Caenorhabditis elegans: one gene and its partners. The protein of the gene in region 1 purifies or fractionates together with the protein of each later gene. This does not show direct contact. Each region holds a gene or a part of one and is shown in the gene's direction. Other genes may lie near its edges. The genes, in order: gtnt-9, Y23H5B.8, wdfy-2 and lpd-3.

Region 1 (7,431 bases):
CGTGCATGGGATCGGCCCCAAAGAACTCGGATCCTTCTGGTAGTTGCTGAAAACTGGATTCGTTAAATTAAATGGCTAGAACAACAAAACCTGAAGAAGCTTCTCCTCTGCTCCGGTATCATGTCCGATGCCCAGAGTGACTATGGTACTAGGTTGGTTCTGAGCAAAAAAGGTTGTCAAATTTTTCTCCACAAATTAAAATTTTAAATACCATTTTTGGAAGTATATGTCTTTTCGCCTCGTCAGAATTCAGAAAATCCAGAATTGGTAAATATTTCATTTCTTTGATATATTCGCATCTTCGGATCCCGTTGAACATGTTGTCCCAAAGCTAAAAAATCATTGTCTTTGAAATTAGTATTTTGCTTTAAATGTGAAAAATGTACCGTGAAAACCTAATACAACTGTTATCTTATCTTGTGAAATTGAGTCGCAAACTTTGGAACAGTTTCATTCTATAAAAAAGACCAAACAATGTTAAATATTTCATTTCAGACCAAAGGATATCCCTATGAAGTTGAGGTAGGGACAAGTCTAAGCCTAAGCCTAAGCCTAAGCTTTAGCTACTTACCTCGTCTGGATAACCTTCAAAGTGTGAAATATTATTCATAAAACAACTGTGCCAAGCGTCATAGTTTTCCTCCATTGTCTTAATTCCAGGATTTTTGGAACTGAATTGAAATCTCGACTGCGTCCGTATATAACACAGAAAAAATAGAAAAATAGTCGAGAAAAAAACTAAAGCTGAGCTTTGCCGCATTTTTGTGAAATTTAAATGAAAATGGAAATGACTTAAATAGCAAATCTGCTACACTTCAGCCTCAAAAATTCAGGAACGAGATAATCTTTTCTTTCTTTGATTTCAATCTGGATGGCGATGAGGATCGCCAGATAAGCACTCAAAGAAATTCTGCGAAACATTTGCCATTAAAGTTTCTAAAATTCGGCACCTGGCATTCAACAATGGACATAGTTCTTCAAAAGTTTAAAACTCGATGTTTTATTTTCTCCCAGCAACTCTTATCAAAAAGACACGGTTTTGACCGCATCGATCGGATTGCGTTACTGGCAGTTTTTGTGGTGGCACTGATCAATTACATCTCTTTCCCAGAGCGGAGAAAGTTTCAGTAAGCTTTGAAAAATTTTTCTAATTCCAGTAATAATTTTTTTTAGAATACCAGCAGAGTTATATGCATATTCTCCAGCTATTCTACCATATAAGGAGTTCTTCTTTCCGTGAGTTGTTCGCCTCTGTCAAATCATAGTAAAAATCCTATTGGGGTATTTTTTAGTTTATCTAATGTTAATAAAATTACAGGGAGTTGTTTTTGGCAATTTTTATTCCAACGAATTTTTTTATATTTTGTACTGAGAAATAAAAAATCTCGTTAGTTTTTAAAAAATGTCCGGAGAGTTTCTTGTGTTCGATATAACTTTGATATCTAGTAAAATAAATTCTTTGATTTTCAGTATAAAATCTAAATTTATCGGAAATAAATGTCAATTGCAATAATTTTTTTTCAAAAGTTTAAACGGTATTCTGTCTAACAGCATTTGAATAATACTTGTGTTCAGTAATCCGACAGTACCCCTACATTACTTCGACACCATTTAGAATTTCAAAATTTTCAAATTCAGAGACACAATTTGAGTTGTCAATGTGCGTTGCACCACTCTAGAGGATGAGCCGAAGTGGTTGACTGCGTACAGTATTATTACAGTAATCCTATAGCTCCTCTACAGTATCTCGGTACTATTCCCGGCAAGCTCTGACCGTAAACTTCTAGTTTTGCCAAAACTACAGAACTATTACAGTACACTACAGCTCCACTACAGCATCTCGATACTGTCCCACACCAGCCCCATATAACTTTTCAAAAGCTCAAGAGACATTGTTTCCAAAACTACAGTACTCCTACAGTACTTTTTCTAATAAAATGTTTTCAGAACTCGAGATGTTCAAATCCTAATCCAAGGAATCGAACATTCCCCTGCCACGTTCACACTTCCAACATCCGGCCAGATATTTTGCTTCGTTGAAACTTCTACAAAATATTACAAAGACCGTGTCCCATCAGTTGCCTCCACGTGGCTTCCAAGGTGTGATCACGGACGATTCTTTACAAAAACTCATCTTCCTTACCCTGACATTGCATATTCTACAGTTTACCGAAATCTAAGGGATACCTATGATGATTTGTTCCGAAAATCAATATTCAGTTTGTATTACTCATATACCAGCATTTCAAAACATTTTGATTGGTACCTGAAGACAGATGATGATACATTTGTGGCAATGGATCATTTAAGGGAGTATCTAAACACTTTGAATCCAGCAGAACCTTTATACTTGGGATATCGATTAGCACCTTTCATGGTAGGTTGATTGCAGGAAAGGACAGAATTAACTGAAAAGTTGTTTTCATTCCAGAACAATGGCTACAATTCTGGAGGCTCCGGGTACATTTTGTCGAACGCAGCAATGCGAATGTTTGTGGAACAACTCTACCACAACGTAAGGCTATGTCCTTACGATAGAGGAGAGGATCGAGGAATGGGAAGATGCCTAGAATCAGTTGGAATCACACCTTCGGATACTAGAGACGATCAGGAGTTGAACCGATTTATGCCATTCAGACCGGCCGAAATACCCATTATTGGTTCCAAGTGGCATTATTTTCCATTGAAAGTGGGTTGATATGGCCCGAAACCTTCAAATAATTATTTTTCAGTATCCATTCATATCGAAAAAGTTTGTGACACTTCATCGAGTTCCTCCGGAAATGATGATATCCCTCGACAAATCACTTTATTCAGAAAACGGAGAACCAACATTTAATGTTACAGATTTCTTCAATTATTAATTTTTTTAAAGATGATGTAGTTTTTAGCGATAATTTTTGAAGATAATGTTTTAATTATTAAATAGTTTTTCAAAAATAAATTTTTGTTCTCTTTGTTGCTTCTAATGTAAATCTGAAAATACTTAACATTTGTTCAGTCAAAAACCTTGGTGTTTACTTCAGTTGTGTCGATTTTGAAATTTTTCTTTAACGAGTTTATGCAAGACTAGTCTATTAAGTTTTTCTGGATTTGTTAATAAAAAATAGATGTTGAAATGCAAACTGATCAGCGTATTGAATGCTGTTGTGTTCTGGAATTTTTCATTAACGAATCCAGAAATAAACCTGAATAGATATTAATCAGCAGGCTGGACTTTTTCACGCTTCTTTTTATTTTCGAGAAAAGATTGTAGGAGATATTATAGAGTTCGATAGAGATCAATATTTAGAGAAAGTCGAGACATGTTTCAGGTAAAGAAATTATTGCAAAATAAAACAAAATTTTTTGAAAAAGAACAAAATGTTGAGCATTCAAACATATTAAGAAATTTGGAACGAATTGGCTAATCAGTTAGGCTTAAAGGCCCTAAAATGTGACAAACCACAAAACTGCACATTTGCAGTTGATTTGGTATCATGCATATATACAATTAAATTTTATTTTCAAAAAGAAAAATTTGATGGTTTTAGAAAAAAGTGAAGTCCCTCTTTTCTATTTTTACCGAGAAATTTTTAGCGCGCAACATCCGTGTAGACCTGGGCGGCACGAGATTTTGTAGATATTATCGGCTTCATTGAAATGGAACAAGGCTTCACAAGCCTGCCAATCTCACTTTGCCATGGACATCCCGATCAAAATGAAAAAAGTTCAACGAACGGGTACTTTAATTCTCTCAATGATTTTTATTCTAATTATAATTTTGTACAAGAACTATTCAAACGGACGTTGCACGGAGCCTAAGTCCAAAAACTACAATTCTAAATATTGCATAAATGAAATGGATCGATTTGATTGGTATTCCATGAAAAATCAAAACTCGGTGAGTTTTTTCAAAATTTGAGCTTCATATTTCAATTTTCAATTACAGTCTATACCCGCCACAGAAGTTAGCACTCTGTACGCTTATAAATTTGAGCATGAAATCACAATTACACTATCATCCTGGAAATTTATTGGGTAATTCTGAAAATATATAAACTTTCAACATAGTTTTTTAGCTACCGAGTTCACTGCCGGTACGTCGATAAGGATGGCGCAGAAATTGGTCGTCCCTATGAAACTTTTTCATATCCGGAGTTTGTGGTAAATTGCCCGAAGCGAGACGGAACTTATGAAATTGGGTTGAGTGTAGAGGAGTTTGGAAGCTTCAAACCATTACCAATAATTTATCGCGTGTTGAAAAGTAGGTTTTTGTACCCCTACAGTAATCCTACAGTACCCCTACAGTATTTCTACAGTACCCCTACAGTAACCCTACATAAATTTTACACTCCCACAATACTCCTACAGTATTTATAATACACCTAATTTAAAATTTCTCAAATTCAGAACCCTTATTTGAATTGTCCATGTGCGTTGCACCACTCTATGGAGACGAGCCGAAATGGTTGATGTTTATAGAAATGATTGAACACTACAAACTACAGGTAAGACCTCACTCCGGCCTACGCAGGCAGACCTTTTCTGTGCATACCTCATTAAATTTTTTTCAGGGTGTTGAGCATTTTTATAACTACATCCATGAGATTTCGGATTATGACTCTAAAGTTATTGACTACTACGCCGGACTTGGAATCGTCGAGAATCACTATCTCCTCGAGAAAGGTCTGAGAACTGATCGTCATCGGCATATCAATGAAGTTGTGGTAAGTACTTTAGGAGTCTCGCAAACTGAAAAATTTGGAAAGCTTGAAGGACTGCAACATCTGGTCTCGAGGTCACTCAAAATGGACAATCTTCGCTGATTTAGACGAGCGTCTAGTGATGACCGACTACCCGGGAACAATCTTGAACTATATCCGAGAAGTGGACGATGAGAAAATCGGTAGCTTGAAGTTCAGACAGCAATGGATATTGAAGACAGAGCTGATGCCACAGGAATATGAAGGAAAAGATCAGGTGAATATAGTGCTAGGCTTAACTTTTAGAAAATAATGATTCAGCTGCTGCAATGGATGGCGGCTCACCGCTGGCACAATTCAACCGGAATCGCCCGTCCTGGACACACAACCAAATGTATTGTGGACTCAACAAAAGTATTCATAATGTCAATTCATCTAGTAATTGAATTCTTCCCCGGGAATGGGTACTATGAGAAAGAGCTCAAGCCTGAAGAGGGACTCGTCAGGTATTTTTTGTTATTTTTTACTTATAATATTTTTCAATTTCAGACACTATCGTGACCAATCACTTGGAGAATGGGGAGAGAAGTGGTTGAAAACCGTGATGGAATTCGGTCCTCTGAGAAATACTGACTATCCTAGAAAGTATATAGGAAATCTCACGGAAAATGTTGTAAATACTGCTGCAATTGTATACGGGAATCTAATTATTTAATTTTTAAATTTATGTGGCTTTATTTTTTTGTACGTTTAACATGTACTTTCTTTCAATTTTCATTGGCACAATTTTAATATTACATAAAGCTATAGTGATAATGGTTAATTAATTTTCAGAAAAAAATAAAGATGGAGTACTGAAATCTGAGACATTTCAGACCCAAAATGGCACAAAACGATCGAATTTTGAAATGCGGTTCAAAGTTTTGAAAAAACGTTTATTTTCAGGTGAAACATCAAATTTTGCTAACTTTCTGAAACTAATAAGTATGTAGATCAGAGTAATGGTACTATTTTAAAAAGCAACCTATTCAATCTGACCTAATATTCAAGCGACACATCGCTTCTGAAAATAGTGTCAACGCGCCGGGTCTTTTCGGAGATCAATATCTTTTTCCCTTTTCACTGCAACCAAACTACAATATTCCGTCCTCCCGTTGTGTACTTTTTTTTTTTTTCAGAACATGTTTATTATTCCTTTACAACAGCAATTAACAACGGGCGACTAAGGGTGATTTTCGAGCAAGTAGCAAGTGGGAAAGGATCTTCGAAATTCCAGGAATATTTTTTTGCACTGTAGATTCATTGAAAACTCGAAAACTGATAAATATCTATTGAATCTTCTCTACTCACCGTACCTTTGTGACCCTATTAGACATCTCGTCTAAATAATTTGTGTCATGGTCGATTTTCAAAAAAAAAACCCTCGAAAATATAATTTAGATACTCTGAAAGGCTGAAATTGCTTTGATCAAGTTGGATGGCGATATGTTCATTTTTGGAGCAGTCTCTTGCATCTTCCACATATTTCTCGAAGCTTTTCGACCTATCCTGAAGTTCCCAATTGTTCCCAATTTTTTCTAGAATTTCCCATTAAATTTACAGATTTAAACAAATCCAGAATTTTCAGGAGTACTCTAAAGTTTCCTGGAAGTATTAATAATAACAAGAAGTACGCAAGTATTTTGGGGCAAATGGGATTTAAGTCGCAGTGAAATTGATTTTTAATTATCAATAATTTATTTGGTTACAGATAATTACATAATATTTATATAGGCATGCCAACCTTCAGATGCAGGCAAATCAAGTCGTGATAAATGTTCTGAAAGTATATCAAGTATAAAATTGAATTGAAAATAAATTAAATACCGTCACTGTTACAATTTGCAATGTTATATTCCCGAGTCGAATTGCTATGTCACAATCGTCCATTTTAAGTTGATTCTGATAATAATAAATTTAATGAAAATTAATTTCATTACAAAAATTCTCACTTTATAATAATTCCTTAATGCTGAACTGACTCCATCATAATGATCCTCAGCTACAGTTTTCATTGTCCGAGAAGTTGAGAAAAATCCCAGTTTCCAAATGCAAAAGGCTTTGAACGCTGCGAACTCGTAGATGTTCAGCTTCAACTCAGCGAATGCGGAGCCCAGAGTTGACTTGACTTGTTGGAGGAATTCAGTTAGTCTGCTGGAACAAGAACTCTATATTTTAATCATTAAGCTTAAATACCCACTCATCTCGTCCTGAAACTTCTTTAAAACAATCTATATCCGAGACCGAATAAGCACGAACAGAGTCAATCCATACATTGGCGAATTGAACATATTTCAGTAAAACCTTGAGATCTTCCTGTTCCAAGTGATCTACCCCCGGACAGTCAATACATGCTTCCATTGCAGAACCGTGTTCATGAGCAGTTATTATCATCAGCTCGTTGAATGATTTTGCAAGGAGAATGTTCTGAAATATTTAAATTTTGGCTTGAATACTCAGCGGGAGTTCAAATTGCTTATTGGTCGGAAATTGACCAACCTTTGACACATTTCTCCTTTTTTGACTCATTGTCTTCTCAACTTCTTCCAGATAAAATTGCAGCAGATCTTCATGATGAATCTTCAGAATTTTGCTGAATCCAGAGTATGTCTGTGGAGAATTTGATCTTGAAGTTGATGAAGAATTTGAAGATCCGCTTGACGGAATACTTCTTTGACTTGATGCTTCGTTTCCTTAAATATCCATG
Region 2 (7,591 bases), on another chromosome or scaffold:
ACTTTTCAAGATAAATGTAGGAACATTCATAAGATGCGTACAATTTTGCCGATTAAAATTGATATTCTGAAGCTTCCAAAAAAAGTCCAAAACCACTTTGTCAAAATTTTCGGCAATTTCCGTTTTTTGGCAAAATCGGCAAATCGGCATTTTGGCGGTTCTCCGATTTGCAGCTAATCTACAGTTTCGACAATATGCCAATTTGCCGGGAATTGCAATTCCATTTGCCGGAAATTACATAAAGATTTTTTCTTGAAAATTCGCGACCTGTTTTTTTAGAAAAAATTTGAGCTGAAACAAAAAACAAGACAAAGTAAGTGATTCAAAAATTACAGTTTCCCAAAAATAAAATCACGTTTAAAAGTTGAAAATCAAAAGACCAGGAAAAAACTATAAAATCGAAGTTGTTGCTTTTCTCCCGAAAATGTTATGATATTCTGAATGATGTGTATTGGTTTTTATGTTTTGAAAAAATTGAGTTTTGCCCCAAGAAAGCACGAAGTCTAGGGTAAAATATTCGGTAAACAATGTGGAAAATTTTGTTGAATTTTTGGCTTCTGACAATTTGAGTCCAAACGGTAATTTTCGCGAGACCAAAAAGTCAATTAATATGATAATTTGTCTACTTTTTGTAGTCTAGAGATCTATTTCTCGATAATTTCGGATGTGTTATCCTGAAAAGTCGAAAGAACTTTAAATAACCTAAATCTTTGGCTATATAAGGAGCTTCAAATCAGTCAAAAATTCAAATCGAGTTTTCAACTCTTTACAATCGACGAGAGAAATGGCAGACAAGTCCGCTTACATGGGAGCCGGTGGATACGGATCCGGCTACATGGGATCCAATGCGTCGTCTTCTGGATACGCCCGTGAGGACTACGCCCAGGGTGGAAATGGTGGATCAAACAACAACCAGCAACAAGGATCCGGAGGAAACACCAATCCAGGAGGACAAGTGTTCAAGGCTCGCACCGATCAATCGTGCTACCTTGGACCATAAGTGTGAAAATAGGAAGACTCTATTGAACCCTATTGAAAACCAAATAGTCGCTAATAAATTGTATCATTTCCGCCGGTTTTTTTTTTACTTTTGTTGGTCCGAAATTAAAGCTGTTAAGGGCGACGTTTCCTCTGGTTTTGAGCGAAGATCTCGCACTTGATACTGAAATATTGTTAGTATATTCTGAAAGAGCTTAAAATTTACTACAAGGTTTCTGAAAGACATTTCAAAAAAAGTTACTTTGAAGAGATTTATGAATTTTCAAAGTTTTGAAAATCCATCTATTTTTGCCTATAAATGGTAGTTTTCATTAAATAATAAAATACGCACTAAAAGGTAGGGCTGAAAATGTACTCTTGTACTCTAAATGTACTCTAAATGTAATATCTTTTAGTTTTCGAGTTATGACAGTTTTATTAATGAGCTTGAACTGAGCTTTTCCATACCTTTATGGCAGTGACTGTACGTAAAATTACTTACAGCTGCGTAATTTTACTAAATAGCCCGGTAAAAACTACGCAAAACCCCTAAAAGCCCTTTCGTAAATCTACAAGACTACACTGAAAAAACTGTAGATCAACTGTAAATTCACACAAGCTGCCTATAAAATCGGCTCCCTTTCACCACCAAGTCTCCTGTTGAGGACATGGAAGAGAAATCCAAACTTCGGCCATACCTCCGGTGCGGAATGAGGCGGCGCATTTTCAATAGAGTGCGCATTCACTTGTCGTATATCAAAGAAAAAAAACACATAATAAATACAATCATTTATTTTTATAATTCTCAGGGCATTTGGATAAGTTCAGATGTTGTCAGAGAAACGGTCAGAGATCATCCCAAATTCTGATAAGTCGACTGAATATTGGACGGAGCGTTCTGCACTTGAGCATCGTACGACGGTTTTCCAGAATCCAAATAGATCGATTCGACGCCTGCTTGGCTTTCCGGTTGAACGACGGCTGGCTCTGGCGGTGGTGGAGCTGGAGCAACAGCAGCTGGAGCCGGAGCCGGAGCTGGAGCCGGAGCCGGTTCCTCAACCTTCGGCTTCTCTGGTGGAGTCTTCGCTTCATCCTCGACTGGCGGCTCTTCCGGCTTCTTCTCGACTTCTGGCTTCTCGCTAGACGCTTTCTTCGATCTTTGTGATCCCTCCTTCTTCGATCTTGCAGATCTCTGCGATCACTCCTTCTGAAACAAAAGAGCTTCGTAAATATACACTGTACTCCGTAAATCTACACAAACCTTCTTCTTCTCGGACTTCTGCTCCTTCTTGAGTCGAGCCGATCTCTGCGATCCTTCCTTTGCCTTCTCCGCCGATTTTGCAGGCACTCCACTCTTGGCCGGTGGTGCCGGAGCGGCAGAATTGCTCTGAAAAGATGGTTGTTACAGTGGCCGAGAAATAACTCTTCCACTCACCTTAATCTTCTTTTGTCGTTTCGAGTTTTGTTGTCTCTTCGAGTTTTGCTTCTTGTCTCGTTTTGATCGTTTCGATCGCTTTGATCTCGCCGATTTTCCTTTGCCACCACGCGAATTCTCACGATGTCCGGTGGTACAGCCGACGGCAATGATCGCTCCAGAAATTGACGCAGCAGCAGCGAAACACACTGAAAAACAAGGAAATTGAGATAAATTGATATTTCCGGCACTTTTGGCAATCGATAATTACCGGCAACTGTCGCCATTGCCTTTAACTATTACGAACCGGCAAAATTGGATTTATCGGCGCTTAGCGGCAACTATTGTTAATTGCCGGCGACTATCAGTAATCAATAAAATTAGAGTTTCATTGCCGGCGGTCAGCGGTGACTATCGTTAATCGAAAAAAAAATCCATTTGTTACAAGTAATGGCTGCTGCCGGCCACTATCGGCAACCGCCGGCGACTACCGGCAATCAATAAAATCGGAGTTATTGAAGATTGTCAGCAACCATTATGACACTTATTGATTTTTGTAGACACGCCGGCAACAGAAGCGGCAATGCTCCGACAACATCCTCGGCGATCGCTCAGCAACCATCGGCAACTTTTCCTAAACTCACGGTAATTCATGGCACCATGGAGGTGCTCCATATCCAAGCTCATTGTGAAGAGTCGAAATTTCGAAATAATTGATTTTTCGCCGAACAAGATTTGTGGTCCCGTGAGTTGAGATTTGATTATTTGATAAGAAAGGTCAGCACGGTCATTGACATTTTTTTAATTTTAATTTTTTTCTTTTTAATATTTTTGAAAAATAAATTTTAAGTAAAATTTTAGATAATTTTTACAGTGGTCTCTTGTTGATCTCGGCTGGAAGAGGAGTGACGTCACAGATGGCCTAAGAAAATGTGGTGTGACCAAGTTTTCCGCCAATTTCTGTTTCAGAAATTTGTTTAAAAATTTTTTTTCTAATTCAACACTAATTTCTCCTCAGAAAATTCAATTTTTCCGCCAAAAAAAAAGTTTCCCAGAAAATTTGAATTTCTCGTCAAGTTTTTTTAAATCAAAAATTTGAATTACCCGCAAATGTTTTTCTTTAAAGATTTCAAGCTCCCGCAAAAAAATTTCTGAGAAAATTAAAATTTTTCGTCAATTTTTGTTCAAAAAAATTGAATTTACTCGCCAAAATTTTTGTTTCAGAAAATTTGAATTCCCTCCCATTAACTCAAACAATTTGAAATTCCCGCCAATATTTGCCACAGAAGATTTAAATTTTCCACCAAATTCCGTTGTTTCAAATTTTAATTCCCCACTAACTTTTGCTCAGAAATTTTGAATTTTTCTGAAAAAAATTTGAACAAATTTGGCATATCCCTTTAAAAAATATAGATGGCAGATAAAAAACTACAAAAAAAATTTAAGTCGATTTTCCCCATCTCTCCATTGGAAAAATCGATATTTCTATACCTAATAAATATGAATCCGTTGACCTCAAAATATTTGTTTTCCCGACTTCAGAGACTATCTCCCGGGAAGATATATCTTCACGGAGACGAGGGATATATCTTTCGATAGGTCATTTCTTCTTCTTCTGCTATTCAATTGTTATTATTCAATATTTATACACCGAAATGGCCAAAATTCTCTTGTTCCTTCTCTCGACTTTCTTCGTTTTTTCCATTGTCTCCGGGCAACAAACAAACTATGAAAATTGTCTCACGAAGCTCAACAAAATGAAGAATATTTTGAATAATTTGAAGCTGGAAACTACGAAACACGGCAAAAATGTGAAAATTGGTAATTTGGAAACATTTTATCATATGTGCATTGACACAACGGTTAGTTTTATTTTTTTCAGCAAAAATTTGAAAAATAGAGTTTCGAAAAATATTGAATTTTCAACAAAAAATTTCTGCAAAAGTAGTAGGTGGCCTAGAAATTCTGCGGCCACCGATTTCCAATTTTTCTCAAATGTAGTTTGTGAACATTAAATTCGTTTCAAATAATGCCAAAAAAAATTCCATGGGAGGCAGGCGCGGTTTCAGGGCCTGCCTTCATCCTGCCCGCCTCAGCCTCTGGCCTCTCAACATTTTTCTACACAATGGCGAGAAGGAATATTTAGCACATTGGCAAATTGCCGGTTTGCCGATTTGCCGGAAGTTTTTAAAGGGATTTTTTCATAAGACGGAAACACTTAAAACTGTGCTTTTTTGAAAATTTTCCCGTTTTCTTTAAATATTTTCATAGAATCTGCTCACTTTTCAAAATATATGTAGGAAAATTTATAAGGTACGTACAAATCTGCCGATTGAAATTGAAATTCTGAAATTTCCTTTAAAAAATTGTGCAAAAGCACAATTTGCCCAAAATTTTCGGCAATCTGCCAATTTACCAATTTCCGGAAAAATGGTTTGGTCGCCACAAGGCGGGCGAGGTAGGCTTCTCTGCGCCTGCGTGGAAGCCTACTGGATAGAGCTTCTGTGATCACAACCAAGAAGTGGGCGGAACGAAAGGCCACGCCCGTTTAACGGCTCCCAAAAAAATTATGAGCATCAGAGGCCACGCCCAAAATTTGGTACATCACTTTTAGTTTTTTTTTGATATTTAAAAAATTAAAAGTTTTCAGAACTGCGTAGAATCAATGGAAATCCCAGAGCTACTAAAAAGTATTTTGAGATTCGGAACAATGTTCATGAGATCCGCCTGTGAAGACTTGGGCTTAAAAGTCGGACCATTCAGTAAATGCATGGAAAAGGTACCTACAAGCTTCTCCGAAAAAGATCCTCTAGAACATTTTATTTCAGACAAAATTCGACGTAACTACTCTGAAAAACACGACGATTGGAGAGGATAAACCAAAGTGCTGGTTGACACCTGACGAGTTTTCAGAGCTTCAACGGGTTGTTCAAGAGCAATGCGGAGATGAAGCATGGGAGGATATGTTGAAGAATGAGGATAAGGTCAAAGTGATGACTTGTGAAAATCAGCCATAATGTATCCAAACGACATTCCGATTCGCGGGGGTTGATCCCCTTTTTATCAAATGAAAAGCACCTATATTGTGTTCATTGTTTTTTTTAACCTTATTTTAACTTTAACCGGGAAACGAAGCCCAACTCAGGATATGGGCGGACTCTCTGTATTTTTCGATGTATCGATTTCCTTTGTTTGGATTTCCGGGATCTTGGTTGAAATTATAAATGACCAGGACATTAAGAAAACATTGGCCATAACGATTTATTTTATTTTTAAAATTCTAACAAACTATCATAAAACTGTCTCTGTTATTTATTATAGTTATTTATTATTTATTTATTATTTATTTATTTATTATATTTATATATTTATTCCACAAATTCAATATGCGAAAAACGAACGAAACCCTGTGTGCCACTAGGTAGGCGTCTGCGCACATTCTGCGCCGATTAATTTCTTTTCTATTTATCGGAAAGTGCGCAGACGGCGTCAAAAAGTGGGGCTGGAGACCAGCCACAGCCCCAAAAGGAGCTCAGCCCCACTGTAGGGGCTAGCTAATAGTGCATCTTTATGTTTTAAATAAAAAGTGCATTCAAAATTTGCGATACATCCATTTTGAGATAGTTTGTGAGCTGATAGCTTGTTTTTAACGATATATGAAAAATTGGTCATTTTTTTCTGCGGCCGACTTGTTGAGATGCTTGCAGAGATTATCTCTAAAATGTTGAGAAGTAGGAAAAAGTTGTCATCTGGTCAACATTTAGTTAGTTGATAGCACAAAATTGCATTATATAAAAGTTTCAAAATTGCCTTCATTCTTCAAACATCTTCATTTCGAATTAGGATTACCTGAAATTTTGATTTTCAAGCTATTACTAGAATTATTTGAAGGCTTGTAGATCCTGTTGCATCCAAAATATTCACGAATAAAATTCTCATTATCCAGCATTTCTTTGACGGCACGGGGGCCGCATATATTTTCTATTGGCATTGTCTTGCATTCATTGTCAGCCTCGAAATACTCGCATGTTGGAAGTTGTGCCTAAAAATCATATATTTGTAATGCAAATGCGCTCCACAGCACGCAAAATTCAAACTTATGTAAAAAAGAAATCTTACCGCATTATTCCAATGGCTTAAGCACGGCCACTCCATTAATGTGATGGCATTTTGAATCTGAATTTTTTTTCAGTTTTTGTCTCTTTTAGTCTTTTTGGAATACCTTTGGAATACAATATCCAAACCATGATCCAAATGCGCCAATTCCATTACAAAGTTCGTCCAGATCCGTGATTTTCTTCGAAATTTCGTTGTCTTTTTTGTCGCAGTTTAGAGATTTTGTACAGCTCTGGAATATTGATTTTATTGGTTTATTTGATTACAACTAATTGGAAAAATTAAAAATTCTCAACTATAATACAATTGATTGAAAGCTTGATAAAAAAATATGCAAATATCAAATGACACGTGGTGTCAGGCTGTCCCATTACAGTTTGACCAACAAAAATGCGGGAATTTTACGCCCAGAAAAACGTGACGTCAGCACGTTCTTAACCATGCGAAATCAGTTGAAAACTCTGCCTCTCTTCTCCCGCATTTTTTGTAGATCTACGTAGATCAAATCGAAATGGGACAGTCTGACACCACGTGAAATGGGAGTTATATCCGAAATTTGTGCGTTCAGTTTTTTTAAAAGAAAAATTCAATTATTTCTAGAAAGGATTTTACTGAAGTTTTGTGAAATTTCGGTGGTTTTTTTTGGAGTCGAAAATATTGCTGGGATCTCTGAATCTTTTTTCCAGAAATTTTTTCTCTACAAAACAAGGGATCTACCGCGAAAAAAAATCAAGAAAACTTATAAGAACGCCACCACCCTGCTGACCCACATAATTTTTTTTTCATTTTTTCAAATTTAAATAATTAGTTTTTTGGGGGTCCATACACCTCTGATCCGAAGCTCTACCGCACAACACCCACTAATTTCAGTAGAGCGCATTTGCACCCACAAAACTTACCAACGCTCTCCTGCAATCTGAATACAGGGACTGCGCTGCTTTGACTGAGGGCAACGGCTTATTCGAAATCCAGTCTCGAATCAAATCCAACGAAAGTTTATTGCATCCGTACTCCAGATCGTAATGTCCATCACAATCATCAGAAAATGCAATCGAAAAGGAAACAAAAACGAATAGAAAATGG
Region 3 (7,689 bases), 5.5 Mb from region 1:
TTGATGCATTTTCTTTCCGAAATATTAAAGATCCTCCATTTCAAAATTAGGAATTGGAAAGAAAAAGTGTTGCATAAGTGTTAAAATTTTGCAGAATGATCTTCACAAACCATATGTTAAACATGGAACGGGAAAATGTTTGGGGGCTCTCGGAGCAAGTAGTCATCATCCACTTGACATTGTTCTCTTGGATTGACACACTTCACACTCAATGATAGGTGAGTGTGGGAAGAGTAGAATAGAGATGGTTTTAGGGTGGAAGAAATGGTTTTTCGGAATTTTTACTCAAAAAAATTATGCTATCAATCTGGCAGCGTATTTTCCCAGTAAGTAGCGCAAACAATTTTTGCAATTAATAATTTAATAGTACTGTATTTTTTGCTCGTTTATTATATGAGACTCCTAAAACAATTGGCGTTTTCTAATACAATACGAGAATACGTTGCTGAGATAAAATGTAAGATCAAAATTAGATCAAGAAAACTGAAATGATATATTTATACTACCGTATATTTTCTATTAGTATTGCACATATAAGTTGTTATAACTACTTAGATTTCAAAGATTATATTTCGGCTCATTTAGGAGATAAAAAAAACAAAGTTCATTCTTTAAAAAATTCAGAAAATAGGCGGTAGGCGGTTAGGTTCGCCTGAACACGTACCTGCCTACTTGGCAAGCCCCAGAGAAAACGATAAAAATACGTGAGTTTGTGATAAAACATAATATCACTTTGGAATGTTTCACTGGCGGATTCGGAAGGAAAAGACTAGAGAAGGGAATCGAATCACCAAACAGACACTAATCATGTGTGCACACACGATGACCCCCCTCCCATCTCAGGTGTATGAGTCTCAGGCGTGTGTCTTCTCCTGTTTCGCTTTTGTTAACATTACGTAACAGGAGCACACAATTAGAGCATATGTGCAATTATGTTCACACCTTTTATATCGTATAAAACAATGGTGTCGAGTGAATAGAACACGGGGACAGGTCACCTTGATGTACTTAAATGGACTAGAAAATATTGGTTCGCATTGTTTTCAAACAAGAAATCAGGTATCTTGTCAAAAAAAAGTTCTAAACAAAATAAATAATCTATCCAAAAATATATTTCATAAGCTACAATATTCTAGAGTGATACATTGTACATTACTGAACTTTCTCCAATTACAGCAAAACTTCAATGCTTCTTGCCTGCCTGCCTAGAAGCCTACCTACGACCTATTGTTTGAATTTTGGCGTGAATTATGTTGTTTGTTGTTTGCACTGTTTAGTTTTATGTTGCTTGAACTCATTTAAGTTTCGAACATTGAATTCAAACGTGAAAAATGTTTTTGTGTAGTTATGAAGTAGGCACAAATTAGACGTAGGCCACCTTGAAGGCAGGCGCGAGCTTTTGTGCCTACATCTGATGTTTACTAGATTAATTTTGAAGTGCTTGAGTGACAATTTTAGAAAATATTCATTCATGTGCATATGCATCTTTAAAAATCGTATTAAAACTCGTAAAAAATTTTGCGACCAGAAAATAAAAATTAAAGAATTTTATAAAATGTGTTTTCTTTTTGGTTGCGACCTGCTATACTTCGTCTTGATCTTTGGTTGATCTGTCAAGGGATAAAATATTCAGATGATTGTAGTTGAAGCCTGTGATTATCTGAAACAAAAATCACCCAGTTTCATTCTTGAACAACTTTCAGTATCCTACCTCATAGCTTGATTTTCGAAAAATGAAGGGCTTATCCCACAACACTTTTGCTTCAACTTCTCGAAAATCTGGATTTCTTCTTGATTTATCATTATCAGAAAACCGAATGATCGTCAGTTTTTCAAAATTCGTTGCCACATAAAAATCCTTCTCATATATAAATTCCAAATTTGGACGACGCTGCATAAGTGGATCGAATTCACAGGAAAAATCAAATTTTGTGCTGAAATCCCACGTATCTGCCACATGAATGTACCCCGATCTATCGGCAGAGATGAGACGATGTCCATCGGCAGATATTCTGGAATTTATGAGATTTAGAATACCTTCAATTTAAAGTTTTGAAAATAAAGTACTTTAGTCCATAAATTTGTGATTTGTGAAGAGATTTCTCAGCAATTGCTCCACGTGTGCTCCGAATATCAAATAGTCCAATTGTTCCATCTCGTCGTCCTGCATATAAGTAATGATGTTTTGATGGATACCACTGTACAACATCAATTGGTTCATCATTCCAATATATCGATTGAGGTAGATCCATTCCGACTCTGAAATGATATTTATTTTGAAATATAAAATGTTAATTAATTTTAATTAAATTTTAAATTTTGAAATAATTCATAAAAATTTAAGACAAGAGGTTCGACCAGGGGAAATTGTAAGACCAAAGTTTTAGAAAGTTAGGCAGTCATAACAAAATATAGCTCTTGTTCAATACAAGATCCACTAGCCTTCAGGCACGTAGGCAGGCATTTCGTGGAACTTTTAAAGCTTACCTAAAATCTATAATTTTCATTGATCTCCCTCCATCTGCCACGGCAACTTTTGAATTTGTCATATTATACTCATTCCAATCAAAATAAACATCTCCTTCAAATTGTTTCCCATGAACCACTTTTTCCATGGTACTATCACAAACTCGCATCCAATTTGATGCTGTTGTAACCATGAAAAGGCGAAGATCGATTGGACACCATTTTATTGTTTTCAGAGATTGCTTCGCAAGTTTTCTGAAATCTTGATAAATTTTAGAATTATTGCGGTTGTTACATACAGAGTCATAGGTTTCTTCCACTTTTTACGATCCAAGTATTTATATTTGGCAACTGACACTGAACCACTATGAGATCCAAATAGTAGCCTGAAAAATCAATTTTTTTTAAACAAACTCCTAATTAAACCAACATTTGGTCACCATCATCTATATCAATCGCACTAATATCTTCTTGATGGCCTTTCCCCGTCTGATCACAACCCATAGGAATATGTTTTGTCCATCGAAAATTCAAAAGAGCCCGTGAAACTTGTTGTTCTTCGAAAACTCGGCGTTTTCTGCAAAAAATTTCAAATATAACTCAAATTTTAAAAAAAATTAGTACAGTAAGAAAATCTAGGCCTGTAAATTCATAAAAGTTTAAAGTCGTTGCGGGACCCGTCTGGTTTTCTGACTCTTGCGCCTTGAAAAAATTGCGGTACTGTCATTTATTTTCTTTATTTGCGCATTTTAACATTAAATTTCTCTATTTTTCTCGTTTGTTTTAAATTTTAATTATGCATTTGCACTTTTTTTTCAAAATTATTACGAAATTCACATAAAAACCGCAAAACTCACTTCAAATCACAGCTGAACATGTACTCCTCGTGACGAACAGTCATTTTCCTGTTGAGAAATTATAGAAACATGCGAATAAATATATTACGATTAAATAAAAAGCTCAAACGTTGCTGTTAATTTGAATATCCTCCTTAAAACAGCCAATGGCCTAGAGTCCACCAAACAAGTTCATTCTCGGCCGCACCGGTTTTCCGTTATTTACCGGGCACTGATTCATCTGTTTCCAGACCGGTTGCAAAATTAGTTTGATAAAAATTTCAATTTCCACAAGGAAATATTTAGTTCAGAAATAGTAACAAAAGTAAAAAAGGTGCAGAAGTGTAAACAAACGGGCGAGAACACGTGGTTTTATCGATTTTTGCTTTAAACATCTGCATTCCGTCCTCTAAACTTTATGTGTCATTTATTGGCATTCAATTTGATTTTCTTTCAGATTTTCAGCCATTATGGCTGCAATAATCAATCAACGCGTCGAACAGGGCGAATCAAGTATGGGAGGAGCCAAACCAGGTTGGTGAATTGAAAACGAACCATTTGATTTCCATAACCTGTGTAATTTTCGAATTTATTTTAATTTTCAGCTCTTCTTCACAGAATCACTGGCCACGTGGCTCGTATCAATGACGTCATTTTACTATCAAAAGACGAAGGAGTCTGGACTGCAAGTGATGATAGATCCGTTCGCCTGTACTTAAAAAGAGATAATGATCAATTTTGGCCGTCAATTCATCATTTCATGCCAGTTGCTCCAACAAGTCTTTATTACAGTGAAGAAACTTATAAGTTAGTTTAAAGTTTAAATCGTTTTATTTTTTAAATTTTTAATTTTTTTATTCAGGCTGCTCGTCGGACTTATCAATGGAAATGTCTATGAATTCAGTGTTGCCGATGACTTTAACAGTATGACAGAATCCCGAAAATGGACATGTCACGCTGGACCAATCTCTGGACTCGGCTTTGCACTCTCCTCCGAGCTCATTTTCAGCTGTTCTCGAGATAAATCTATCGTCTGGCATTGTTCAGAAAATTCAAATAAGATGGGAAGTTATCTTTTGGAAAATAGTTGTACAGCAATGGTCATTGATCTTCCATTTGTATTCGTTGGAGATCATGGTGGGCATGTCACTGTTCTTCGTATTGTCGATAATCAACCAAATCTTGTCAGCAAGCTTAGTGCACATACGAGTGAGTTTTTATCGTATTCTTTTTTTTTGAGTAAAATATTAATTCGAAATTTTAAATGCTATCGTGCCTAGGAAAAATATTTGTTAAGTATAACATTCCAGTATTTCCTGAAATTCCCCACAATCAATACAATTAGTAATTGTGGTTTGAATTAGTTCAATGATTTTTCAGATGCAATCACCTCGCTCACATGGGACGGAAATAAGAAAGTTTTGTATTCTGGAAGCAGTGATCATCTCATCATAATGTGGGATATCGGAGGAGGAAGAGGAGAAGCTTATGAGCTTAAGTGAGTGTATATTTCTGGAATTTACGTGATATTTCGAAAGTGTTGATGTTTTTCGAGCGCAAAAGTTGAATTATATTTAGTTGAAATAGATTTTTCCAAATTAAAAAATGTTTTTTTCAGCGGACACAATGGAAAAGTGACAACACTATGCGCAGCTCCAGCAGCCAAACGTCTGTTCTCGGCTGACGAACACGGAAAGCTCATGTGCTGGGACATGAATTGCAAGAGAGTTGAGACTCCTGAATGGAAAACTTCGGATTGCTGTCAGAAATGCAATCAACCGTTCTTCTGGAATCTTCAAGCAATGTGGCAGAGGAAAGTGGTCGGATTGAGACAACATCACTGCAGAACCTGTGGATCAGCAGTCTGTGGATCTTGCTGTGACAACTGGACCACCTATCCACCAATGGGATATGAGACGAAAATTCGCATTTGTAATGACTGCAATGCACGAATGAAAGATAATCCACAGAATTTCAAGTAAGTTGTAAAGCAAATGACTGATGAAACTTATTTTCAATTTTAGCCTTACTCCACTTGCAATTCCACATGAAATCCATACTGGAATCACTGCTATGCATCTCCAGGAAACTCTCGGACTTCTAGTTACCAGTGGACAGAATCGTGTGATTATGATTTGGGATGTTCGAAGTGTTTGCTCTGCCCCTTCTGGATCACAATAAACAATTGCTTCTACTTCTCGAATTTCTCATAATTCTTTGTATTTCATCTAATTTATTTCCTCTCCTTTCTATTTTGTATATTCACTCTCAAAATGCCCATCCTTCCCCAAGACCAATTGTTGTCAAATCAAGACCTTCTAAAACTTACCAATATTTCCCGATACCCCTGACAGGTTGTCCTGAATAGTGATTGTGATTCTTACTTTTCTTCTAATCCCGATAATTTCCTAGTTTTTCGACTGTAAAATTGTATTTTTACAACAAAGTTTGAAAAAAAATCTTTTTTTTTGAAGTTTTTGGACAGAACGACTAGAAATTATTTCAAAAGAATGCATGCCGGGAGAGTAGGTGAGGTTGGTGACACTGGATGAAGGAGAAAGCTCACAGGAAGTACACAAAATAGCTGAGTTTTTGATGTTTATAAGAACGCTACGCGAAATTATGACTACGGGGAAAATTAAAAAATTGAGGAGAAATTATCAACATCCGCAAGCTCCTGCGCTGCTGTTTTGAGGGAAACTTCTTTCGGATAGGCACACGGATTGTGACCTCATAATACCAGTTTTAAGGCCTTCCCAGCCATCCACGGGCCGCAGTTCTCCGTCGTCGACTCGATTTTGAATCTAAAAATTTGAAAATTACATCATAAAATTGAAACATTTTCAAAAAAACCTCTTGTGCAATCATATGAAAAGCTTCATTAACATTGTCTCCTGTTCTCGACGACGTCTCGATAAACTTCATTTTATGGTACTTGGCAAAGTACTCGCCTTCCTCATAGTTTACCTGAAAGCTTTTAACCAATTTTTTAAACACAACTTTTGTTCAAAAATTACCTGTCGCTGTGAATCCATATCACTTTTTGTTCCGACTAATTGGAAGACACACTTCGATGGGCTTGGACCACCCAAATTTAATGCTGCTTCTTTAACCCAATTTTCAACATGCTCAAAACTTTCTCGATTCGTTGTGTCGTAGATTGCAAGGACTCCAACAGAATTCCGATAGTAGGATTTTGTAATTGATCTAAAAATATTTTTTTTAATCAGCTAATATTCTTTTTAAAAAAATCCACATACCTGAATTTTTCCTGTCCTGCTGTATCCCATAGTTGCAATTTAACACGATATCCAGGCCTCAACTCAATCATCCTTGCATAAAAGTCTACTCCGACAGTTGGGTCGCTGATTTCGGCCATTTTTCCTTCTGTGAAGTACCGTAAAAGACTAGATTTGCCAACTGTTGAATCCCCAATAACGATAAGACGATATTGGTAGTGAAAGAGCGGTCCATAGTCGTCACCAATGAAGTTTGTTTCCATTTTGTCTAAAAAATGATATATTGTTGAGCGTTTCCAATAGAGAATGATGCAATTATTATAAGAAAATAAATTTAAAGTTATCCGAGCAACAATTATCAATAAATATTACTTTTTTAAATGAAAACCTTTTTAATTTCAGCAGAAATCTTAGAAATCAGATGATCAATAAATAAAAACGGCTGACTTTTTAAAGGCGCATAGAATTTTCTTGGTGGCGGGTCCCGCACCGAAGAGCCGTTTTCTAAATAATATACACTAATGATTATTTTTATTAAATTTTTTCACGGTTTTCGAGAGTATTCTTTATATAAATTCAATTTTAAAGCATTCTCGTCGAGTTTGAATCCGAAATTATCGATTTTCGTTTTTCTCTGCTTTCTCTACCGCTGTTTTCTCTCCTCCGCTGTCTTCGCAAGATTATAGAGCTCTTTTGAATCAATTTGTTTCATGTTTCCGCTTTTGACGTTATTTTAAACATATACTGATATAAATAAATTAAGAATAGAGTAGAAAATCTAGTTCAAGTAAAGATGCAACATTTCTTTCTGCAAAATTTCTCGAAAACACCTGTTTTCCAAAACTTTTCAATTACACAATTAGAATTTCGGAAAAGTTAACATATATAAGAACATATTATATATATATATATATATATATATATATAGATTAACTCTCACAGTTAAAGAAATCTGAATAGTAATATTGCGAAATAGTTTTGCATAAGTTTGTTTGATTAAATTAAATGTGAAGCACTAACGCTATTGAATCCAGGAAAAACTCGAATTATTTGTTTGATTTTTATTAAACACACTTTGTGAACAATTTTCGGTTAAGAGGCTTTGTTGTAGTAAAAATCCTAAATCTACGATTATCTTCTTAAAATTT
Region 4 (8,321 bases), on another chromosome or scaffold:
AGCAATTACAAGGATCGAGAGGAAGTACAGAACACGTTTTTTCGACGAAATACACGATTTTTTGTCATCCAAAGTTTTCCCGTCGTCTTTATCAATTTCCAGGCTGATCTCGGAGCCCATGCCGAGCTGCTTGATTTTGTGCTCGTGCTCATCCATATGATTGCACGCACAGCCGAAGCAGAACGTGTGCTCTCCGCTTTCTCGGCGATCTTCCCAATTTGCATAGTTTTGGAGCATGCATGTCGGGCAGTAGTAGACGCTGGAATTAAATTTTGAGAAAAAATTATTTTTTGTTTTTTTTTAAGCTGCGATGTTCCTTTTTTTTTCTTAAAATTTTGTGAGATTTCATGAAAAAATCTTTAATTCTTTTAATTTTTATTACTAGCTACGATTTTAAAGGCGCACACTCGTATTTACAAGCGAGGGTCTCGCAGCGAAATTGTTTAGATTAACAACTGCGATGTGCACCTTGAAGATTACTGTAGATTTTATTGAATTTTCTTTAGATTTTTTCGCATACTTCTTTCTTTTTCGATTTGTAAGTAGTTTTTCTTCTTTTTTTTCATTTTCATAACTTTTAAAACACAATTTTCGAATCAAATTATCGATTATTCTTATAAGAGCTTACCTTGACTCATCATCACAATTGCATTCTGGATTCGCCTTCTTTTTCTCGAAAACGGCTAGAATTTCCACATTTGTCGGGATCTCCTGCGTCATATTTACCGCTTCTCGGCACATCGGACACGTGTCCTGGCTTTTGAGCCAATCAAAAAGGCAAGAGTAGCAGAATGTGTGACCGCAGTTCTCCAATAGTTTTGGCAGGTGCTGGAAGTCATCTGAAAAATTGGAAATTTGAAAAAAAAACTGCGAATTATGGCAGAAAGACTAGACTAGTAGAGAAAAAAATACTTACCAAAATCGAAGAAGCAAATTGAGCATTCGAGGCGGGAGGCCATTTCTAGAGAGACAACACCGCGCAACGGGTGGGGCAAGACTGATGAGAAATACTGCACAGCTGCAATGAGTACATCTGCCATTTGGAGACCACTCTATCGATCGTCTAGGGTCACAGTGCGCGCGTACGCGGTGGTCCCGAACACACAGCTGCTGGTATTTTTTCATTATATTGTCACTTGATGGTACAGAGAGAGAGAAAGGGAATGTTGTATCACTTGTAGCAGAGGTGGACGGGAAACGATTTTTCCGGCAAATCGGTAAATTGCCGGATTTGAAATTTCCGGCAAACCGGAAAATTGTCGGAATTGAACATTTCCGGCAAATCGGCAAATTGCCGGATTTGAAATTTCCGGCAAATCGGCAAATTGCTGGAATTAAAATTTTCCGGCAAACCGGCAAATTGTCGGAATTGAACATTTCCGGCAAACCGACAAATTGCCGGAATTAATCAGATCGGCAATTCGGTAATTCAGCAGTTATCCAACTCCAAAATTGTTCAAAAAATTTAAAAAAATTAAAGAACCAAAATTTATTTCCGACAAGTGTAAAGCATAGTACATTTCCTTATTTCTTCTTCTTCTTTTCCAACTTTCCACTAACTGTACTGGCTTTCGGCGTTTTTGACGCAGAAGACTTTGGCGTTCTTGGCGTTTTGGCGTTTTTCGGCATTTTGGCCTTCTTCGGTGTTTTCGAATTTTTCGAATTTTTCGGAGTTTTTGCGTCTTCCTCTTTCTGAAAAGAAAATCTCTAAATTTCCGGCTCCAACATATCCAGCTCACCTTTTCATTCATTCTATCAATACGTTCTTCTTTCTGTCCTGGGAGTAGATCATTAGCATTATCAAACAGTGCACTGGGCTCTTTGAGCAACTTCCAAATGTCATCAAGCATTGAAGTTCCCCGTGGAATTGTACGCGAGAGGGACACTGAAAATTTGGAGAAATGTTAATTTTTCTCTAACTTGTATCGCTTCTTCTCGAGGTCACGGCCTCGCCCCAAAAATAGACGGAACTTCGCTGCGAGACCCAAACAAATTTTTGCGAATACTAACTTTTAAGCTTCGGGTGCAAATCCCTTCCGGCCATCTCGTCCACCGCGATTTTCAGTTTTTCAGCAATTTGACGAAGTCTCAAATCATACTGAAAATCATGAATTTTTGTATGGGTTCTAGCTCTGAACACTTACCCTTCCAAAGATTAGGTAAAAATTGAAGAGGGCAAAGATAAGATTGAACAATGAAATTGTCATGTTGAAAATGCCTCCAATTGCCAAAATGCTAAAAAGATTTTAATTATTTAATTAATTAATTAAATTTAGTTTCTAGCAACAAAATCTAAGAAGAAAATCTCACTTAAATCGATATGCCATTGAATATTCCGTCACATTAATCGAGAAGGCTTGCATTTTTGCTAAAAGAGAGCTTGATTAATGTTTTGGAATGTTGGCACCGGAATTTGAAATTCTACGATTTTTGCCCTAAAATTACGGTACGCGGTCTCGAAACGAAAAGTTGAAAGAGTACTGTAATTCCTCTGCAGCATTTTCATCAAATTTTACACGATTTTTTCGATTAAAAATCAATAAAAATACCACAGCAACAAAGTACCGGAAATTACTGTATTACGTACATAGTCACGCGGTACCAGGCTGTCCCGTTACGGTTTGATCTACAAAAAATGCGGGATTTTTTATGCCCAAAATTATGTGGCTTCAGCACGTTCTTGACCATACGAAATCAGTTGAGAACTCTGCGTCTCTTCTCCCGCATTTTCTGTAGATCTACGTAGATCAAGACACTCTGACACCACGTGCGTAGTCGAAAATCAGCCACACTGGACGCACAAGGTCCTACGACGAATATATAACTACGCTGCGAGACCTTGCTTGGCGAAATTTCTCATTTTTTGACGACTATGTAATAAGCTTTTACATGGAAAGCAAAGTAAACTGAATACCGTATTAAGAAGGCGATCGCAAATCTCCTTAATTCAAGAATTTTGCAATTAAATTCAAATTTACCATTTCCGGGAACAATGAAGCCAAGTTGAATGATGACTAGGATTTGTGCACACTTGATTATGTTGCGATCGATCATACTTCACTCACTTCTTGAAGAATTCAATAACAAGAACTGAATAATTTCATTGAAATTTGGGGAAAAACCGAAAGTGGAACACGTTTTTCCAGAAAAATTGTTGAGTTTAGAAGGTCACGGAGAACTGAATCGATAAATTTTTTAAATTTAACGTTTTATTTATTGAGTATTTTTGTTTATCTCCATTAAAATTCACTTTTTGCTCTTAAAATAATCTTTAAAAAATGCACAAAACCTGTGTGAAAGTTGAAAATTGACTAATTTTCGCACTTTTTCAATTGTTTTAACAAAAATAATATCGATTTTCAGATAAAACAAATAATTGTCTATATTTTATCATTTAATTTCACTTCAAAACATTGGGAAAACAATCTAAACTGACTCTTTTTGTAAAATTACTGATTTGAATCCCCGCCAATTGGAAAAGTGCGATGGGGCGCGTTTTCCTCCCATTTTCAGCAGTGTTGATTTTTGTTTATTTTTCATTTTTTATGCTGATAATGTTGTTATTTTATTATTTTTTCGCGAATTTTAATGTTTTTCTGCTATTTTTCTCCGCATTTTCTCCCAAAAAAAAAAATGTGTTTTTCATTTTTCAGTTAATGTCAGTCGGCTACTACGGGTTCTAGGCGGCGGCGAAAACGAAAAAAAATGTCGGATTTCGATATTCAAATCAAAATCGACGATGCTCAGCTCGATTTAAAAGGAGTTTCATTCTGGGTCACGGCTTCTGTCGTCACACTTTTCCTGGCGTGGAGCACGTTTGTCGTATTGTTTTTCTCGCGAGTCAGCGCACTCTTTTTCACTTTTGTTATAGATAAGTGAGTAAAACTGAAGGTTTTTTGCTTGAAAATGGATTAATTTCGCAAGGAGACTTCTTAGAAATTGCTCAATAAATTTTTATGGCGATTTAAAATTTCGAAAGTTGAAAAAATTGGCTAATTTTAGCTAAAACTCTCCAATTTCGCAAGTTTTCCGTTTCCCAGCGGTCGGAAATTAATTTTTATTCGATTATTCTCCTCTTTGATCGCTTATTTCTCGTTATTCGTTGATTTAGGTACATTTTAAGCTTTAATTATACCTAAATCAACGAAATAACATGAGATAAGCATCCAAAGAGTATAATAATCGAATAAAAATTAATTTCCGGCCACTGAGAAACGGAAAAACTTGCGAAATTTTAGCTAAAAAGATTTTTGCTAAAATCAGGTTTTTTTCCAAAATTTTGAAATTTTGAACCGCCATAAAATATTAAGATATTTTTGATGCAATTTTTAAGAAGTTTTATTGCGAAATTAATTTATTTGGGCACTATAAAAGAAAAATCCAACAAAACTGGCGGTAAAAATCGAAAAAAAAAATCATTTTTCAGATATTTGCGATTATCAAAAAATGGAATCCATTTCAAAATCGGTGGTATTTCGATCTCAGGCTTGCACGCCGGCAAAATAATGTTTCGAAACGTAATTTATGATAATGGAGATATGACGATCAAAGTTAACGATGGACATTTATTATTCAAATATTGGAAATCTGTGGAACATCGACATTTGAATCTTTCAACGTTCGTTATTCCCCTAGATTTTGCGATTTTACAACGAAAAAGTCGATTTTTTCGAAAAAACTACGGTTCCTCGACACGACAAATTTTGGCTAAATGCCGAAAGGTGTGTGCCTATAAAGGGTACTGTAATTTCAATTTTATCGACTTTTTATAGTTTTTTAGTTATTACAATTATTATTAATTTGAAAAAACCAACAACAAAAAAATCGTGAAAAAAACTATTTACGAAGACATCTAAAGGTGAGAATTTTCGCCATATCTTACGCTAATGGGTCTCGCCACGCTGAAAACGAGTTACTGTAGCTTGGGTCGATTCATGGTCCGATAATGCATAATATTTTCAATTTAGTTTGATGAATATTATTCAATAGCGGCCCATAAAGCTACAGTAGCCAATTTTCAGCGTGGCGAGACCCATTCTCGTATGATATGGCGAAAAACTCATCTGTAGATGTCTCCGTAATAGTTTTTCTCACGATTTGTTGAAATTTATGTATTTTTATCGATTTCTTATGTTTTCTAAAAATAAATCATAAATTTTTATCGAAAAACTATGAAAAATCTATGAAAATTCCACGAAATTGAAGTTACAGTAATCTTTAAAGGCGCACACCTTTTCGCATTCAGCCAAAATTTGTCGTGTCGAGACCGGGCGCAAAAGTGGCAGAATTTATTTGTTAAAAATTTGCAAAAAATGCCAAAACTTTCTCAAATTTTGTTTTCAAAAATTTTATTTTTTTTTTGCAAAAAAATCCAATTTTTCGCTAAAAAAAATCCTATAAAATTCCAGAAAACGAGCTTCCCGATTACATCTTGTGCTCAACGGATTACACGTTAATATCTACAATAATCTGACAAAATACACGGAAATCGCGAGAATTCGGAGATTTGATTGGTTTTTCGAGAATACGAATATGAACGATGCACGGCGGCCTCAGACGAAGCCTCCTGACACGTAATATTATCGAATTTTCGTGCAGATATTTCTAAGCCAATGTTCAGTTGTAGATCACCTCCGTCGTCTGTATGGGAGAATATGTGGAATCTATTGGGTATTGTACATATTGAAGTGTCTGCTGGATGCATTCTTGTCGGAAATAAATTCCTACCCTATGCTCTATGGACACGATTTGAGAATTTGAATAGTGAGGTTTTAAAAAAATAATTTAAAAAAAAACTACGATACCCGGTCTCGAAACGAAAAATTCCTTGAAATGCGAAAAGGTGTGCGCCTTTAACGAGTACGGAAAACACCGAATTTCGTAATGAGAAGTTCTGAAAATTTCTCAAAAAAAAGTTATGGCGGCTCAAAAAATGGCCTAAAATTAGTTAAAATTTGAAATTTGACCTACTTGTCAAGCGGCTAGAAACTAACTTTTTTGAAATCACCGTCAAATTTTGAGTATACAATGTAATTATCCTGCGTTTTCAACTCAATTTAGGTATTTTAAAGTCGATGGACGGCGAGATTTTCAATTTTTTTAACCACATCTCGCGGTCCATCGTATTTAAAATACCTAAATCGAGTTGAAAAACCAAGATAATTGACGTGAATACTCAAAATTTGACGGTGATTTCAAAAAAAAAATTAGTTTCCAGCCGCTTGACAAGTCGGTCAAATTTCAAATTTTAACTAATTTTAGGCCATATTTTGAGCCGTCATAACCTTTTCTTGAGAAGTTTTCAAAAAGTTTCATTATGAAATTCGGTGTTTTCGGGCTATTTTAAGTCTAATAATGCAATTAAAAATTCGACCACACCAGCTGTAAATAGTCAAAATTCGAATTTTATTATACAGGCCCGAAATTTTGCTCCGAAACTACGATACGATACTGGGTCTCGAAACGAAAAATAATTCTTGTAAAATGCGAAAAGGTGTGCGCCTTTAACGAGTTCTGTAGTTTTAATTTCGCAGAATTTTTTAAAACGATTTTCATTTTTTTTTTACTGCAAACATTAAAAAAAAAACTCGAATGATGAATTAAAATTGAAAAAAAAAATTCTGAAAATTCAATTATGAAAAATGTGCAAAATTAGCCAAAAAGTCGTGAAATTTTTTTGATATCCTTAGTTTTCTCGCAAAAAGGTGTTTTAAGAGTTGAAAATAGATCCTAAACATAAAGAAAACCCACAAAAATTGCAAAATGACCCGAAAAAATGATTTTCAACAGGTTAAAAAATTTTAAAGCTACATTTTGACCTTTATAAACCGTCAAACGAATGAGTAAAAAACATTTATTTAAAAAAATAATTTTGAGGCAAAACGAGTGTAACAGAATCGGCCAACGATCGAGCTCTACTCACATTTGAAGGAGAAACGGAAAATGTCGCTGTATCACTTATCAAAAATGAGCAATTCGATTTCACAGCAAAAGATAAAGATCCGCCGAGAACAATGGGAAATGATGGATGTCCATTGTTACAGTCAGCGTCGTTGGAATTTGTATATAAACAGGATTTATTAGGTTGGAATTAGATGGAAATAAATGGAAATTGAAAATTGGAAAAACGATTGGAAAAAACGAAATTTTTCTGGAAACTCTGAAAAATTGAATATCTTAAAGGATTTTTCATGGATCCTCTAGATTTCAAAAAATTTAGATTTTTTGGGGATTCTGTTTTAAAAAATATTTTTAAAAAAGACAGAAGTGACCGAATATAAATTTTTTTTTTCAGTGTTTAGTTTTGCAAAAAATTTCGAACAACTGGCTTAAAAGATATTTGCTTCAACTCTGAAATTAGACTAAAAATCATATAATTTAATATTAATTTTAGCTTTTCTTCAAGGAAAAATTTCTGAAAATGAATGATTTCTCAATTTTTTCGCATTTTCAGAATTTTTTCCTTTACTTGACGAAAAGCTAAAATTAATATTAAGTTATATGATTTTTAGTATAATTTCAGAGTTGAAGAGCAAATATCTTTTAAGCCAATTGTTCGAAATTTTTTGCAAAATTAAAAACTGAAAAAAAATCTCTTTCTTCTAAAACTGGCTAAAACTAGACAAAAAGTGCGCGAAAATCTGTTTTTTTTTTGCCGAAAAAAAACGAGGCTTTTCAATTCGAAAAATCGATTATTAAAAAAAAAACAGAAAAAAAATCGAATTTTCCAGCGAAATATCGTAGAATGAAATATTTTTTCGTTTTTTTTTTAATCGAAATTTCGAAATTTAAAATTTTCGATAGTTTCTGTTACTTTAAATAACATTTTCTAATTTTTCTCGATATTTCAAACAATCGAGAAATTTTCAACGATTCTCACAAAAGTTTTCGATTAAAAAAATTCAAAAATATTTATTTTCTCGATATTTCGGGGAAAAATTCTCGATTTTTTGAAATATCAAAAAAAAAAACGTTCGAGAAAAATTAGAAAATTGTCTTCAAAAAAACAGAAAAATCGGAAATTTGACCAAAATTTTGCCCAAATGCTCAAAAAAAAAATTTAAATAAATTAAAAAATTTTGCAGGTTACGTAACAGACGATGAGCCGCAAAGCATAACCTTAAAACTTCCACTCTGGTCATCTGAATGGCGTTTTGGTAACAATACAGTACTCTCCTATGGTCCATGGGCTGAACAACAACGTTTTCTTATTTATTCGTTCTTCTATCCACCCGATTTTCAAAATTCGACAGCGACTGCGATGCCGACGAGAGGAAAAAAGAGGATTCATGTGAAACATGATGTGAAGATTATTTTAACGA

What was found.
Region 2: the proteins of gtnt-9 (region 1) and Y23H5B.8 fractionate together in Caenorhabditis elegans (co-fractionation; one large-scale study listed by BioGRID). This does not show direct contact.
Region 3: the proteins of gtnt-9 (region 1) and wdfy-2 fractionate together in Caenorhabditis elegans (co-fractionation; one large-scale study listed by BioGRID). This does not show direct contact.
Region 4: the proteins of gtnt-9 (region 1) and lpd-3 fractionate together in Caenorhabditis elegans (co-fractionation; one large-scale study listed by BioGRID). This does not show direct contact.

Annotation. Positions count from the first base shown.
Region 1 is NC_003280.10:3,842,646-3,850,076, forward strand, and holds gtnt-9 (Glycosyltransferase family 92 protein), read left to right. Parts: upstream 1-3,682; coding exon 3,683-3,883; intron 3,884-3,931; coding exon 3,932-4,020; intron 4,021-4,061; coding exon 4,062-4,246; intron 4,247-4,392; coding exon 4,393-4,490; intron 4,491-4,556; coding exon 4,557-4,709; intron 4,710-4,758; coding exon 4,759-4,962; intron 4,963-5,006; coding exon 5,007-5,191; intron 5,192-5,234; coding exon 5,235-5,400; 3' UTR 5,401-5,498; downstream 5,499-7,431. Other genes in the region: C17A2.7 (Methyltransferase FkbM domain-containing protein), read right to left, coding at 1-46, 91-159, 212-331, 572-760; C17A2.3 (N-acetylgalactosaminide beta-1,3-galactosyltransferase), read left to right, coding at 964-1,127, 1,174-1,236, 1,948-2,377, 2,432-2,689, 2,733-2,864; nhr-72 (Nuclear receptor domain-containing protein), read right to left, coding at 6,451-6,504, 6,552-6,626, 6,677-6,878, 6,925-7,151, 7,224-7,417.
Region 2 is NC_003279.8:2,544,784-2,552,374, reverse strand, and holds Y23H5B.8 (T20D4.11-like domain-containing protein), read left to right. Parts: upstream 1-3,975; 5' UTR 3,976-4,047; coding exon 4,048-4,254; intron 4,255-5,042; coding exon 5,043-5,171; intron 5,172-5,220; coding exon 5,221-5,409; 3' UTR 5,410-5,989; downstream 5,990-7,591. Other genes in the region: nspd-8 (Nematode Specific Peptide family, group D), read left to right, coding at 785-1,000; Y23H5B.3 (T20D4.11-like domain-containing protein), read right to left, coding at 6,222-6,434, 6,512-6,568, 6,615-6,740, 7,408-7,591.
Region 3 is NC_003280.10:9,316,106-9,323,794, forward strand, and holds wdfy-2 (WD repeat and FYVE domain-containing protein 2), read left to right. Parts: upstream 1-3,759; 5' UTR 3,760-3,772; coding exon 3,773-3,836; intron 3,837-3,907; coding exon 3,908-4,109; intron 4,110-4,164; coding exon 4,165-4,511; intron 4,512-4,682; coding exon 4,683-4,800; intron 4,801-4,920; coding exon 4,921-5,280; intron 5,281-5,326; coding exon 5,327-5,483; 3' UTR 5,484-5,773; downstream 5,774-7,689. Other genes in the region: csa-1 (WD_REPEATS_REGION domain-containing protein), read right to left, coding at 1,583-1,660, 1,712-2,012, 2,068-2,259, 2,488-2,721, 2,766-2,852, 2,897-3,043, 3,324-3,367; Ras-related protein rab-39, read right to left, coding at 5,963-6,106, 6,156-6,269, 6,320-6,509, 6,563-6,804. UniProt on the Caenorhabditis elegans protein: Plays a role in coelomocyte endocytosis.
Region 4 is NC_003279.8:3,596,062-3,604,382, reverse strand, and holds the start of lpd-3 (Bridge-like lipid transfer protein family member 1 C-terminal domain-containing protein), read left to right. Parts: upstream 1-3,653; 5' UTR 3,654-3,705; coding exon 3,706-3,875; intron 3,876-4,426; coding exon 4,427-4,618; intron 4,619-5,408; coding exon 5,409-5,573; intron 5,574-5,620; coding exon 5,621-5,763; intron 5,764-6,876; coding exon 6,877-7,083; intron 7,084-8,084; coding exon 8,085-8,321. Other genes in the region: Y47G6A.31 (RING-type domain-containing protein), read right to left, coding at 1-259, 629-839, 917-959; Y47G6A.3 (uncharacterized protein), read right to left, coding at 1,525-1,692, 1,740-1,885, 2,011-2,098, 2,145-2,235, 2,311-2,368, 2,979-3,054.